3 linked regions of the Xenopus tropicalis genome follow. The protein of the gene in region 2 purifies or fractionates together with the protein of the main gene of each other region. This does not show direct contact. Links are inferred from orthologs where the notes say so. Each region holds a gene or a part of one and is shown on either strand. Other genes may lie near its edges. The genes, in order: lsm12, atxn2 and pabpc4.

The links.
Region 1: the proteins of atxn2 (region 2) and lsm12 purify together in Homo sapiens (affinity purification with mass spectrometry; 4 studies listed by BioGRID and IntAct, with this or other methods). This does not show direct contact. The link is inferred for Xenopus tropicalis from reciprocal best matches to the Homo sapiens genes ATXN2 and LSM12.
Region 3: the proteins of atxn2 (region 2) and pabpc4 purify together in Homo sapiens (affinity purification with mass spectrometry; 4 studies listed by BioGRID and IntAct, with this or other methods). This does not show direct contact. The link is inferred for Xenopus tropicalis from reciprocal best matches to the Homo sapiens genes ATXN2 and PABPC4.

The regions. Positions count from the first base shown.
Region 1 is NC_030686.2:18,356,781-18,361,086, reverse strand, and holds the start of lsm12 (protein LSM12 homolog), read left to right. Parts: upstream 1-1,356; 5' UTR 1,357-1,473; coding exon 1,474-1,594; intron 1,595-4,306. UniProt on the Homo sapiens protein: Nicotinic acid adenine dinucleotide phosphate (NAADP) binding protein. Confers NAADP sensitivity to the two pore channel complex (TPCs) by acting as TPC accessory protein necessary for NAADP-evoked Ca(2+) release.
Region 2 is NC_030677.2:163,120,759-163,124,411, reverse strand, and holds part of atxn2 (ataxin-2), read right to left. Parts: intron 3,180-3,653; coding exon 2,995-3,179; intron 2,505-2,994; coding exon 2,295-2,504; intron 1-2,294. UniProt on the Homo sapiens protein: Involved in EGFR trafficking, acting as negative regulator of endocytic EGFR internalization at the plasma membrane.
Region 3 is NC_030678.2:91,027,715-91,031,367, forward strand, and holds part of pabpc4 (polyadenylate-binding protein 4), read left to right. Parts: intron 1-1,575; exon of another isoform or gene 1,576-1,704; intron 1,705-2,717; coding exon 2,718-2,911; intron 2,912-2,986; coding exon 2,987-3,102; intron 3,103-3,526; coding exon 3,527-3,653.

The sequences.
Region 1 (4,306 bases), on a different chromosome or scaffold from region 2:
CATTGTTCTGGGTATAGTTTTCCTTTAAAGGAGAAGAAAAGGTAAAATCACCAGGGGTTGTCAAATGTCAGGTACCACCCAGTGATTATAATCACTTACCTGGTATGATACCCTGGGCTGTTGCTCCTGTCAGCAGAAAACTGCACGCGTCTCTGAGTGAAGTGATCTTTTTCTTGATTCTTCCTTCTTTGTGTCATGTGTGTGTGTGCAGTTGATAATAAGTCAAACTTTAAGCAAAAAGTCTGCTTTTTGACCCCACTGGGCATGTGTTGACCCAGGGCTATTGAAGAATCAAGAAGAAAAAAGATGATTGCTCTGTGGTGCTCACTCAGAAGTACCAAGTGTCAGTGTAGTTTTCTGCCAACAGGAGCACTGGCCTGGGTATCAGGTGATTAAAATCACTGGGTGGGGGTACCTGACATTTCCTTCTCCTTTGAATTACTATTATATGCCCAACGTAAATTCTGGACTCCTTGTATTCACTATGGTCTTTACACAGACAGGGCAATGATGTATAGGTGGCATTTTATTCATTTCATGGTTTACTTTTGTGAAATTTATATCTGAACAGCAGTCTGTGGTGTTATCTTAGCATGATACAGTGGGCCTGGGCTGCATGGTCTGCTTTCTCCAATGTGGCATTTTATTCTCTGCTCACCAATGGCTCCCAAGTAGGAGTGGGGATTTACAGTATATGCAGGGCAGGGAGATGGAGGTGGGAAGGGGGCACCGGGCCCAATTTGTTCCCAATGTTATTCATTTTTACTACAAAGTTTGTACAAATTTGGTACAGTTTTACCAATGATAAAGAGATAGTGACAATTAAAGAGAAAAAAAAAACAGTTGAAATGCCATCCTGAATTTCAGCAGTATAGTAATACATTTCCTGGCCAGGCTTACCGATACCGATGTTATTCATTTTTACTATAAAGCTTGTACATATTGGTACAGTCTTTGCAAAGAGAGAGAAATGATTACAATGTCTTTCTTTAAAGCACTGGAATTTCAGCAGTACAGTGGCCTAGCCAGGGTTTTAGTGGAAAGCAGGCTGCACCTTAACTATCAGCAACTCAAACTGTATATATGTGTCTCAGAGAATTCAAACAGTACTGCTTTTAATTGCAGTTAAGTTTATAAACATTTTACTGCGTTATCAAGCGATTCAATCGCTTTGACAAGGTAACGTTTTTCCAATTACGGCGAAGGTCAACGTTTATGAATTTTATTAGCGTATCAATTCCCCTTTCAAGATGGAGGCAACAACCTACTCCTTTGTGGGCGTGGTAATGCCAAATCCTCTATTAACATGAAGACGCCCCACCAAAGATGGACGGAAATAGCGTGCTCTTTGGTAGGCGTGGTAACGCCGCGTCTCCTAGGCGATTTCCCAGCAGGCCAGAGTTTGACGCTGGCTTTTTAAGAATACGTGCTGAGGTCGTGTTGCTGTAGCACGTTACGCAGGCCGGCTGGAAGATGGCGGGTCCGGGGGAATACTTCGCCATTGGCGCCTATGTTTCATGCCGGACCTGCCAAGAGACGAGACTGCAGGGCGAGGTGGTTGCCTTTGACTACCCAAGCAAAATGCTGGCGCTCAGTATCCTTTATAGCGAGAAAGCGACGGATAATGTATAGGGAGCTAATCGGTGGGGGATGGGTACGAAGTGGGGGGAAGGGAGGGGCTGCCGAGAAAATGGAGTGAGGGAGCGGAAGGTTATGAAGGGGGAAAGGTGAGTGGGCTAGGAGAGACTGACAGGTGCTGGCTATTACATCGTATAATACGTATGGCAGTCCGCTGGCCCGATGGGAGAAGGGGAAGCGAGCGGTGGGGTTTGAATGGAGGAGGCGAGAGTGGGCTGTTTATGGGGACTCGGCATGTTTCTCTGGGAGGCGGAAGTAAGGCTGTCGGGGTGGCCTTGAAGGGTATAAGGGATGCTGGGGTGGGGGTTCTTATCAGGTGTTTGTGAGGGGATTGGGTGGGATGGGTGCTAGGTGTGGGCAGGGGATTTCAGTTTGTATGGAGAGTTGCCTGTGGGTGAGTAGGTATCACTGTGTCTGGGTGTAGGTGGTGTTTGTGGGTGGTGCTGTGTGACTGGGGGGCTTACTTGGCTGGCCGTTTCTTGTTTACTGGGTAGCAGTTGTTCTGGGGGGGTGTTTGGGGTATCGTGCTTTCAAAACGTGGTTTGAGGTGAGTCAGGGTGGGCAGTTCATGAGCTAGCATGTATGAGGTTGTGAGTAATATACGGTACACTGCAATGGCAGTCTAGCTAGTTACTATAGGGGGTTCACTGCTGCTCCAGTTGGCATTGATTGGAACATGCTGTTGTTGCATGTTCTAGGGGGATAGGTGATATGTTGGGGTTGGTCAGTTTGACAGCCTGATGTGCGAGTTGGGGTCAGATGTGACCAGAATTTAAACCCAGTCTCTGAACTGCTTCTGTGGTGAAAGCACACAAGAGGGGATTGGCATGGAGAAAATGATCAGTGCAGCATCTTTGCCCCATAAGCAGAATATTTAGAATTGCTTCCAGCATGAAAATACTACCAGGATACTTTGCTGGGTCCTGAAAGATCCTATGCCGGACACACTAACTTGTAGGCCAAGGTCCAATGGATGAGAATGCAGATCTTAACAGGTTCTTGATAGTTTTTGGGATGTATAAGGGTGAAGACACACTGAACTACTTAATAGCAGTTACTTGTCATGGCTACAAAACTCCAGAAAACAACCTGCCATAGACAATACTGAGAATTGCCTGTGCTAAAACACACACAGATAATTATCAGTAAACAATCAGCATTGTCTGTTAGTAGCCACGACAAGTAGCTGCTACTAGTATTTTCACCCTAAGGGCTGTGACAGTCGCCGCACGACAAATCTCCCCGAAATGCCATCCCATCGCCGGTGGGATGGCATACGTGACACGGTGATTTGCCAAAGTTGCCTTGAGAGGAAACTTCGGCGATTTCGGTGTTGCGTATGCCATCCCACCAGAAATTTACATTCTAGCCGGTGGGATGGCATTTTGGGGAGATTAGTCGCCTGCAACAAATCTCCCCGAAATGCCATCCCACTGGGAGTAGATGTATAATTCCGGGGGGGTGGCATACGCGGCACCTTGAGAGGAAACTTCCGTGATTTTGGGGAAATCGCAGCGCCACGTGTGCCATCCCGCTGGCGATTTACATTTTCGCCCGGTAGGATGGCATTTCGAGGGAGATCAGTCGTGCGGCACAACTAATCTTCCCGTGTGCCACAGTTCTAAAGGTCTCCCATACACAGGCCGATTATAGCTGCCGATAACGGTCCCTTGGACCGATTCGACAGCTTATCGGCCCGTGTAGGGGCAGAACTGAGGGGCCTGGCCGACCGATATCTGGCCTGAAATTGGCCAGATATCGATCTGCCAGGTAAGAAAATCCAGTCGGATCGGGGACTGGGTCGGCTTGTTGATGCGGTCCCCAAACCCACTGCCCCATTGCCGCATGTAGAATTCGATTGTTTGGCCCCAGGGCCAAACGATCGAATTTGCCTACATGCCTCCCCGATATCGCCCACCCGTAGGTGGGGATATCGGGTGAAGATCCGCTCGCTTGGCGACATCGCCAAGCGAGCGGATCTGCCCGTGTATGGCCAGCTTTAGGCTTCTCCAAATCTAAACTGTTTAACCCAAGGGATGCTGGTATGACTAGGGGATATGTAAATGACTGTGAGTATGAAAGGTGAGCTGTTTAGGAGTGAAATCAGGTGATTGTGCTGACTAGAGGTGGATTTATTGTTCCCTAAAGGTGGCCATACACGCACCGATATTATCGTACGAAACCTCGTTTCGTACGATAATCGGTGTGTGTATGGCATGTCGGCGAGTCGACCGATATCGCAGGAAGCTGCCGATATCGGACGACTCGCCGATCGGACAAGTTTGAAAATTTTGATCGGGCGCCATAGAAGGCGCCTGACCAAAATTCTCCCTTCAGAGCTGAATCGGCAGAAGGAGGTAGAAATCCTATTGTTTCTACCTCCTTACCTGCCGATTCAGCCCTGAATGGTGTGTGGCGGATCTTACGATGTTTCGTGCGACCGATGGTCGTACGAAACATCGTCGGATCGCCACGTGTATGGCCACCTTTAGTCTCCTGATAAATAGCTGATTTTGCTATGATGTTTCACCCCTAAACAGCTCACCATTCATGCATTTGAACCAAATAGATTACTCCGTTTATAATTGTTAGCTGATTAGGAACACAGACCGAGATAGCAGACCTGTAGAAGACATAATTTCTTTTTTTACCCGTGAGCCGATCAACT
Region 2 (3,653 bases):
AGATTTACATGCAAAACATTAAAAGGCTTTAAAGTACCCTGCAGAATTCCCCCTACAATTACCACTATTCTAGACCAAACGTGCCAGTCACCAGTGACATTAGCCACTGAACACTGGCTGTTACTTCACAGTGCTGCCAACTGAACCGAGTCTGCCCATGCTGGATGGACAAATCAGACTGAATAGAGGTGGGGGAGGACCTGTGCAGTCCCACTGGATGCAAACTTTATCTATAGGCCAAAGCTGTCCTCAACTAATCAGTTGCACTTGATAACATTGTTTTGGGCCCATACACAGTCCAGACAGACTACTAATATGAGAAAGGAGTGCAGTCAGCTGCTTATTTATAAGAATGTTTATACAGTGTTAGATTTTTTGTTTTGTTTAAAAAGCAAAAAAAAAAAAAAGAAGAAGTGGGGCTGGGTGTAATAATATATATGCATTAAACATACACCTTAGTCTGTCAGTCTAATTTTAAGGAACAAATCTTAAACTGAGATTGTGATCTGTGACCTGAAGTATTAAGTAACCACATTTTAACATTTTGCCTTTTACAAGAAGGACACCTTTAAAGCAACTCTGTTATCTAATAGAACTATGCACAATTTAAAAGTGCACAAACAAGTACCTACATAGCATATTATGCATTGCCCTGGCAACTATTTATAAAGGCAATTGTCAGGGAAATTAAAGGCAAAGCAATACAGCACAGCAGCTGTAGGTGGCTGGGTCAATAAATGATGCCTCCCAATCGCCTACATTATTGTTTTTGTGAATGGCCCTGGCCTCCCGAGAGCGCTTTGCATAGTTTTTGAAGGATTCGTTATGCTGTATACTCAAAGCAAGACAAAATGAATGAATAAAATATGGTTAAGCTTAATAACTTAAAGTCATATGACTTACATTAAGTTACTAAGCTTAACCATATTTTATTCATAAATTTTTATTAGGTTTTTTCAAAATGGGAGGTGAGGCTTATTGACAAGGAATGTATATATGACAATCAAAACACAGCTATAACTAAAATAGGAGCCATTTAGCCATATGCTAAAGACAAAAGGTGGGGGATGAGATTACAGCAAGCAAGTCCAAAGTCAGTAAAATTCTCTAATAACTACAGGTAGAATAAAAAAAAATTACCTACATACAGCCGTCTGTACAGACCGTCAGGTCATATTTTGGGACAGCTTTGCAATTTGGACCAGACTGTGCATGTAAGTCAGATGATGCTCGACATCAGAGCTTGGACTGGGCCACTGTAGGATATCCACTTTTCTGTGTGTAGCACCACAGAAAAATAGAGGATTTCTTACCAATTTAGGCCAATTGCATATTTGTAAGATTGTCCCCTCAAGAAAAACAAAAAAAAAAAAAAAAAAAAAAAAAAAAACACACAACTTCAAATGCCTGTAGCTGCCAACAGCCACTTCAACAAGAAATATGCTGCCTATGGCATTTTCTTGTGTATGAGCCCAAAATCATGTTCTTCCTTATAAATAAGCATGGTCTGGGACCATGCTTATTTATAAGGAAAATACAACAAATGGAAGCCTTAAACAGGAGGAAAAATTAATAAAAAAAACCAAACAACAACAAATTGCAGATAAGGTTTCTTTTAAAAAAAAAACAAAAAAAAAAAACCTCTTAAATTCCAGGTACTGCTATTTTTTTTTTTTTTTTAAAGTGATACTGACACTAAAAAACTAGACTTCAAAAAATTAATGTACATTTAAAGTTACCTATGGGTCATTTTGATCATTTTTCACCGATAGATTTGCTTTTGTAATTAATGGCTACTTGACGTTCCTAAACCTGACTGTCCCTTCTCAGCCTGTCAGTTATAGCTTCTAATGCTAACGGACTCCTGAGCATTAATATGGCAGCCCCTAATACAGAAATGTGGGAGGGAGGGGAATCTGATTAGTAATGAAAAAGCAGTAGGAAAACAATTTTACGGCAAAATTCTAATTTAAAAAAAATAAATAAAAATAAAAATTCAGTCAGTATCCCTTTAAGGTAATTGGATGAAACATGCCTTACATTTTGCATTTTAGTTTTAAAGCCATTTTTGGCTCAAAAATTAAGGGTTGTCAAAAAGAGCCACAGAAAACCAAAGGAGAAGATGAAATGGGATTATAAATGTTTTGATATTTACCCATCACAACAGCATGAATCTAGACCTATCATGCTCTCATCTTATAGATGGAAGACATGGTTTCCCTATGCTGTAGGCATGATGGAACTGACAATACAAAGGGGAAAAAAATAAAAAAAATAAAACAGAGGTGTTGTACCTTCTGAAGACATGCGTTTAGGCATAGTAGAGACAGGAGCTGGAGAACCATGAGCAGAGGGGTGAGACGGGGGCCTGGATGGCCGCGAAGGGGGCCTGGAGGGCGGCCTTGTAGGGGTGGCTGCCCGAGGTGGAAGAGAGTTGGGACCTGACTGGTAGCGAGAAGGTGGGCGGGAAGAAGGAGATGGACAAGGCGATGGCCAGGGAACACCTGACAGAACAAATGAGATGAAGGAAAAGTAATAATAAAAGAAAGTAAAAAAAAAAATAATGAGATGAAGGGGTAGGGAACAAGTCAACAGAAAAAAAGTAAAATACAACAGAGGGGAAATGGTTTCTCGCACGTCTTAAGAGAAGCAAAAGATATTTTATGCTACAAAAAGACTCATATTTCACACAGTTTATGCACCATAATTAAGATAAAATGTACATTAATTTACACAAAAGGTTACTTTAAATTGACCCTTTTTCAATTACTTTCTCCCCTTTTAGTTTAACTTTCAATGCCACTTTCTTCCTAGGGAAGACCAGCATGTGTATGTATTTCTTAAATCAAAAGGAAATAGCATATCAAATCATGTTATAGCTACCACCCTAAATAAAAACACTTACCATTCAACAGTATACTACTTAAACAGTACATTTGTAAATGTACTAAAAAATATTTTTTAAAAACCTTGATCAGCTAATGAATTACTTGCCTCCATTTATGACTCTCTGATCAGCTCCAGCATTGGGGCTGTAGTCAGAAGAATGGGATCCTGTCCTTGAAGGAATGGGCCCTGATCCAGACTGTCCAATCCTTGCAGAAGTTTGCCTCCCACTGTGAGTTGTCCATAACATGGCATCTTTATTCCTCTGCACTGGTGGAATGTACTTGTTTTCTCTACAAAACCATCATAGAAAAATATAATATATATATATAAAAATATAATATAAAATATAATATTATATATATTTATATATATATAAAAATATAATATAAAATATAATATTATATATATTTATATATAATATTATATATATTTATATATAATATTATATATATTTATATATAATATTATATATATTTATATATATATATAAAAATATAATATAAAATATAATATTATATATATTTATATATAATATTATATATATTTATATATAATATTATATATATTTATATATAATATTATATATATTTATATATAATATTATATATATTTATATATAATATTATATATATTTATATATAATATTATATATATATATATATATATATATATATATATATATATATATATATATTATATATATATATATATATATATATATATATATATATATATATATATATATATATATATATATATATATA
Region 3 (3,653 bases), on a different chromosome or scaffold from region 2:
CTTCACTGGAGCATTGTAGCACAAAGGGCAACAATACCAAGGAATGTAAAGTTAGCAAATGAATTTGTCTTTTATATCAACCTCTACACTGTGTTGCATTAATGCATAAGGCTGGAACAATAACAGGAGGCACACGGTTATCCCTGATGCTGTTTTTTGTTTGTATTTTATTAAAGCATCATGTACTGCAGTACACTGCAGTTTAGGCTGAGCTAATCTCAGTTTTCAAATATAGACACAGATGCTTCTCTGAATTGAGCTGAGAGCTTTGACTGAGCCTTTTGTATCTCAATCACTTTTTTTGTTGTTATCTAGTAATGATTATAAAAACGTATTCCCAAAATGTAGTAGGCTGTAAAATTATTTTGTTGTGAGGCCCAGTAACTTGTATGCCACTGTTGGTAGAATGTTGGTAGAATGTTGGTAGAATCATGCTGATTTTTATCAGCAGATGCTTGGCTACAGAAGGAAAACTTAAGCTGGCCTGTATGGCAAGTCGGCGAATCGACAGATATCGCAGGAGGCTGCTGATATCGGTCGACACACTGATCGTGCAGTTAAAAGATTTTGATTGGGCGCCATAGAAGGTGCCTGAGCAAAATCTGCCTTCAGGGCTGAATCGGCAGAAGGAGGTAGAAATCCTATTGTTTCTACCTCCTTATCTGCCGTTTCAGCCCTGAATGTTAGTGGCGGATTGAACGATCGTTCGTGCAACCGATGGTCGCACGAAAGATCGCAAATCGCCACGTGTGTGGCCACCTTTATTCAAGATACAGTCATATACGGCAAGATAACCTAGTTCTGTTTAAAAAAAAACAAAAAAAACAGGCTAAATTAGAACTGGAGCTGTTCAACAATTAAAAGGTAAAGGGCAGATTTATCAAAATGTGACTTTAGATCAGGGGTCCTCAAGCTTTTTAAGGAGAGGGCCAGTTCATGGTCCCACAGACTGTTGGGGGGCCGGAATAAAGTCCTCCCCCCGTGTCCTCATACTACGGTCCGCTCCCCCATGCGTCCTCGCGTCAGATCATAATGGGGGCCGGGTAAATTACCTTGGGGGGCCGTAGTTTGAGGATGCCTGCTTTAGCTCTTAATACATAAACTCAATCATGTTATATTCTTTCCTATGGGATTTTTAGAAGTGTATTTATCAATGGGTATTGGACCCTTTATCCAGAAAGTTCCGAATTACGGAAAGCCAACTCCCATAGACTCCATTTTGATCAAATAATTCACATTTTTAAAAATGATTTCCTTTTTCTCTGAATAATAAAACAGTACCTTGTACTTGATCCCAACTAAGGTATAATTTATCCTTATTGGAGGCAAAACAATCCTATTGGATTTAATTACTGTTTAAATATTTTTTTTTTAGCATACTTTAGGTAGGAGATATGAATTACGGAAAGACCCCTTATCTGGGAAAACTCCAGGTCCTGAGCATTCTGGATAATGAGTTCCATACCTGTACTAGTTAAAAACGTTAACATAAAAAAAACAAACAGATTTTAAGTTGGGTATTCCTTTGCTCATGGACTTTAGTACGCTTAAAAAGTGTCTAGATTTCTTCATAAAGCACTGAAAACTCACTCTTTCTGCTGTGCAGTGCAGAGAAAGGAAACAAAGTGCTAGAGAAACGCAGAGGAAATCCAGACGGAGCATGTTTTTAACTTTATGTTCTGTCCCTACACCTCAGCCACATGCAGCTGTGTTGCTTTTAAAATCTAATGAACAAATGTGCTTTTACAACTGTGATTATCTGGCTTTAAAGGAACAGTAACACCAAAAAATGTATATATTTCAAAGAAATTAAACTATAATGTACTGCTGCCCTGCACTGGTAAAAGTTTTGTGTTTGCTTCAGAAACACTACTAGAGTTTATATAAACCCTGGTGTGTAGCCATGGGGGCAGCCATTCAAAAGAAGAAAAGGCACAGGTTATATAGCAGCTAACAGATAAACCCTGTAGAATACAATGGTGTCTTATCTGTTATCTGCTATGTAACCTGTGCCTTTTCTCCTTTTTTCCAGTTTGAATGGCTGCCCCCATGGCTACACAGCAGTTTATTTATATAAACTATAGTAGTGTTCCTGAAGCAAACAGCCCAGTTTTACCAGTGCAGGGCCACGGTACATTATATTTCAATTACTTTAAAACACTTTCATTTTTTGGTGTTACTGTTCCTTTAAGCAAATGATCCTTCTGCTAACATTCAAAGCCCTCCACTCCTCTGCTCCTCACTACATTTCTTCACTTTAATTTCCCCTTTATTTGTTTGCAGAAAAATAAACCTGGCCTTGCAAGCTGCCAATTTGGCCCCTTTAGACTGGGTCTGCAGGTTTTCCGCCCGTGTATTATACCCTCCATTAAAAATCAACTGGATATCAATTAGAAAGGTTTTAAAATCCCCTAGAATGGGAACTGTATTGGGGCATTGATGCCGACCACTCCCAAAGGGCCTGTTATGATCTGATGTGTGACCTGGGAGCCAAACAATTGGATTGGCCCGATTTGGTCAAGAACGTACGTGGCCAAATTGAGCAAAGATGTGCTGGTTTGGTAAGGTTGTCATGTATGCCACCATAGTGGGTTAGTAATTTTGATTTGAAGATAGATTGTTACTGTTTTGGGGTTCTGCAGACTGACTGAGGTGATTTTGTTTGAACCACTGGGAGAACACAGAGCAGATATGATAGTGTTGTATTTTCTTTGCAGCTGAACGTGCTTTGGATACTATGAATTTTGATGTTATTAAAGGAAAACCCATACGTATTATGTGGTCTCAGCGGGACCCGTCCTTGAGGAAATCTGGAGTTGGCAATGTTTTCATAAAGAACCTAGACAAATCAATTGACAATAAAGCACTATATGACACTTTTTCTGCATTTGGAAATATCCTTTCTTGTAAGGTGAGATTTTTTCCACCTTTCCACCCTTCATGTGCTCCCTTATTAAAAGGGTATTAAAGACTTTCTCTTTTGTAGGTAGTGTGTGATGAGAATGGTTCCAAGGGTTATGCTTTTGTGCACTTTGAGACTCAGGATGCTGCAGATCGAGCCATAGAAAAGATGAATGGCATGCTGCTCAACGACCGCAAAGTGTGAGAGGCACTATATTCAGGGTGTGAGCAAAGCAAATGGCTGTGTACTGGATTGGGGAAGAATATTTATTTAAAGGGAAGATAGACAGATTTGCATTTATTTATGGGGGGAAAAAATTGGGATTTAAAAAAGTAAAACATTTGGAAAGGTATGTGTATTAACAAAGAGGGTAAATTGTAAATGGGAAATCTGGAAGGAGGGTAGTATATTCAGGGTGTGAGTGAAGCAAATGGCGTTGTACTGGATTGGGGCACAATATTTATTGAAAGGAAATATAGACAGATTTTGCATGGGGAACAAAATTGAGACGTAAAAAAAAATTTATGGATGGGTATGTGCATTAGCAAAGAGGGTAGGTTGTAAATGGGAAATCGGGGAGGTGTGTACAAGAGAAGGTTTTAAAGGAAGTGTTTTCCCTTGCAGGTTCGTTGGGAGGTTTAAATGCCGTAGAGAACGAGAAGCAGAGCTTGGAGCCAAAGCCAAGGAGTTCACAAATGTTTATATCAAAAATTTTGGAGAAGACATGGATGATGAACGGTTAAAGGAGACA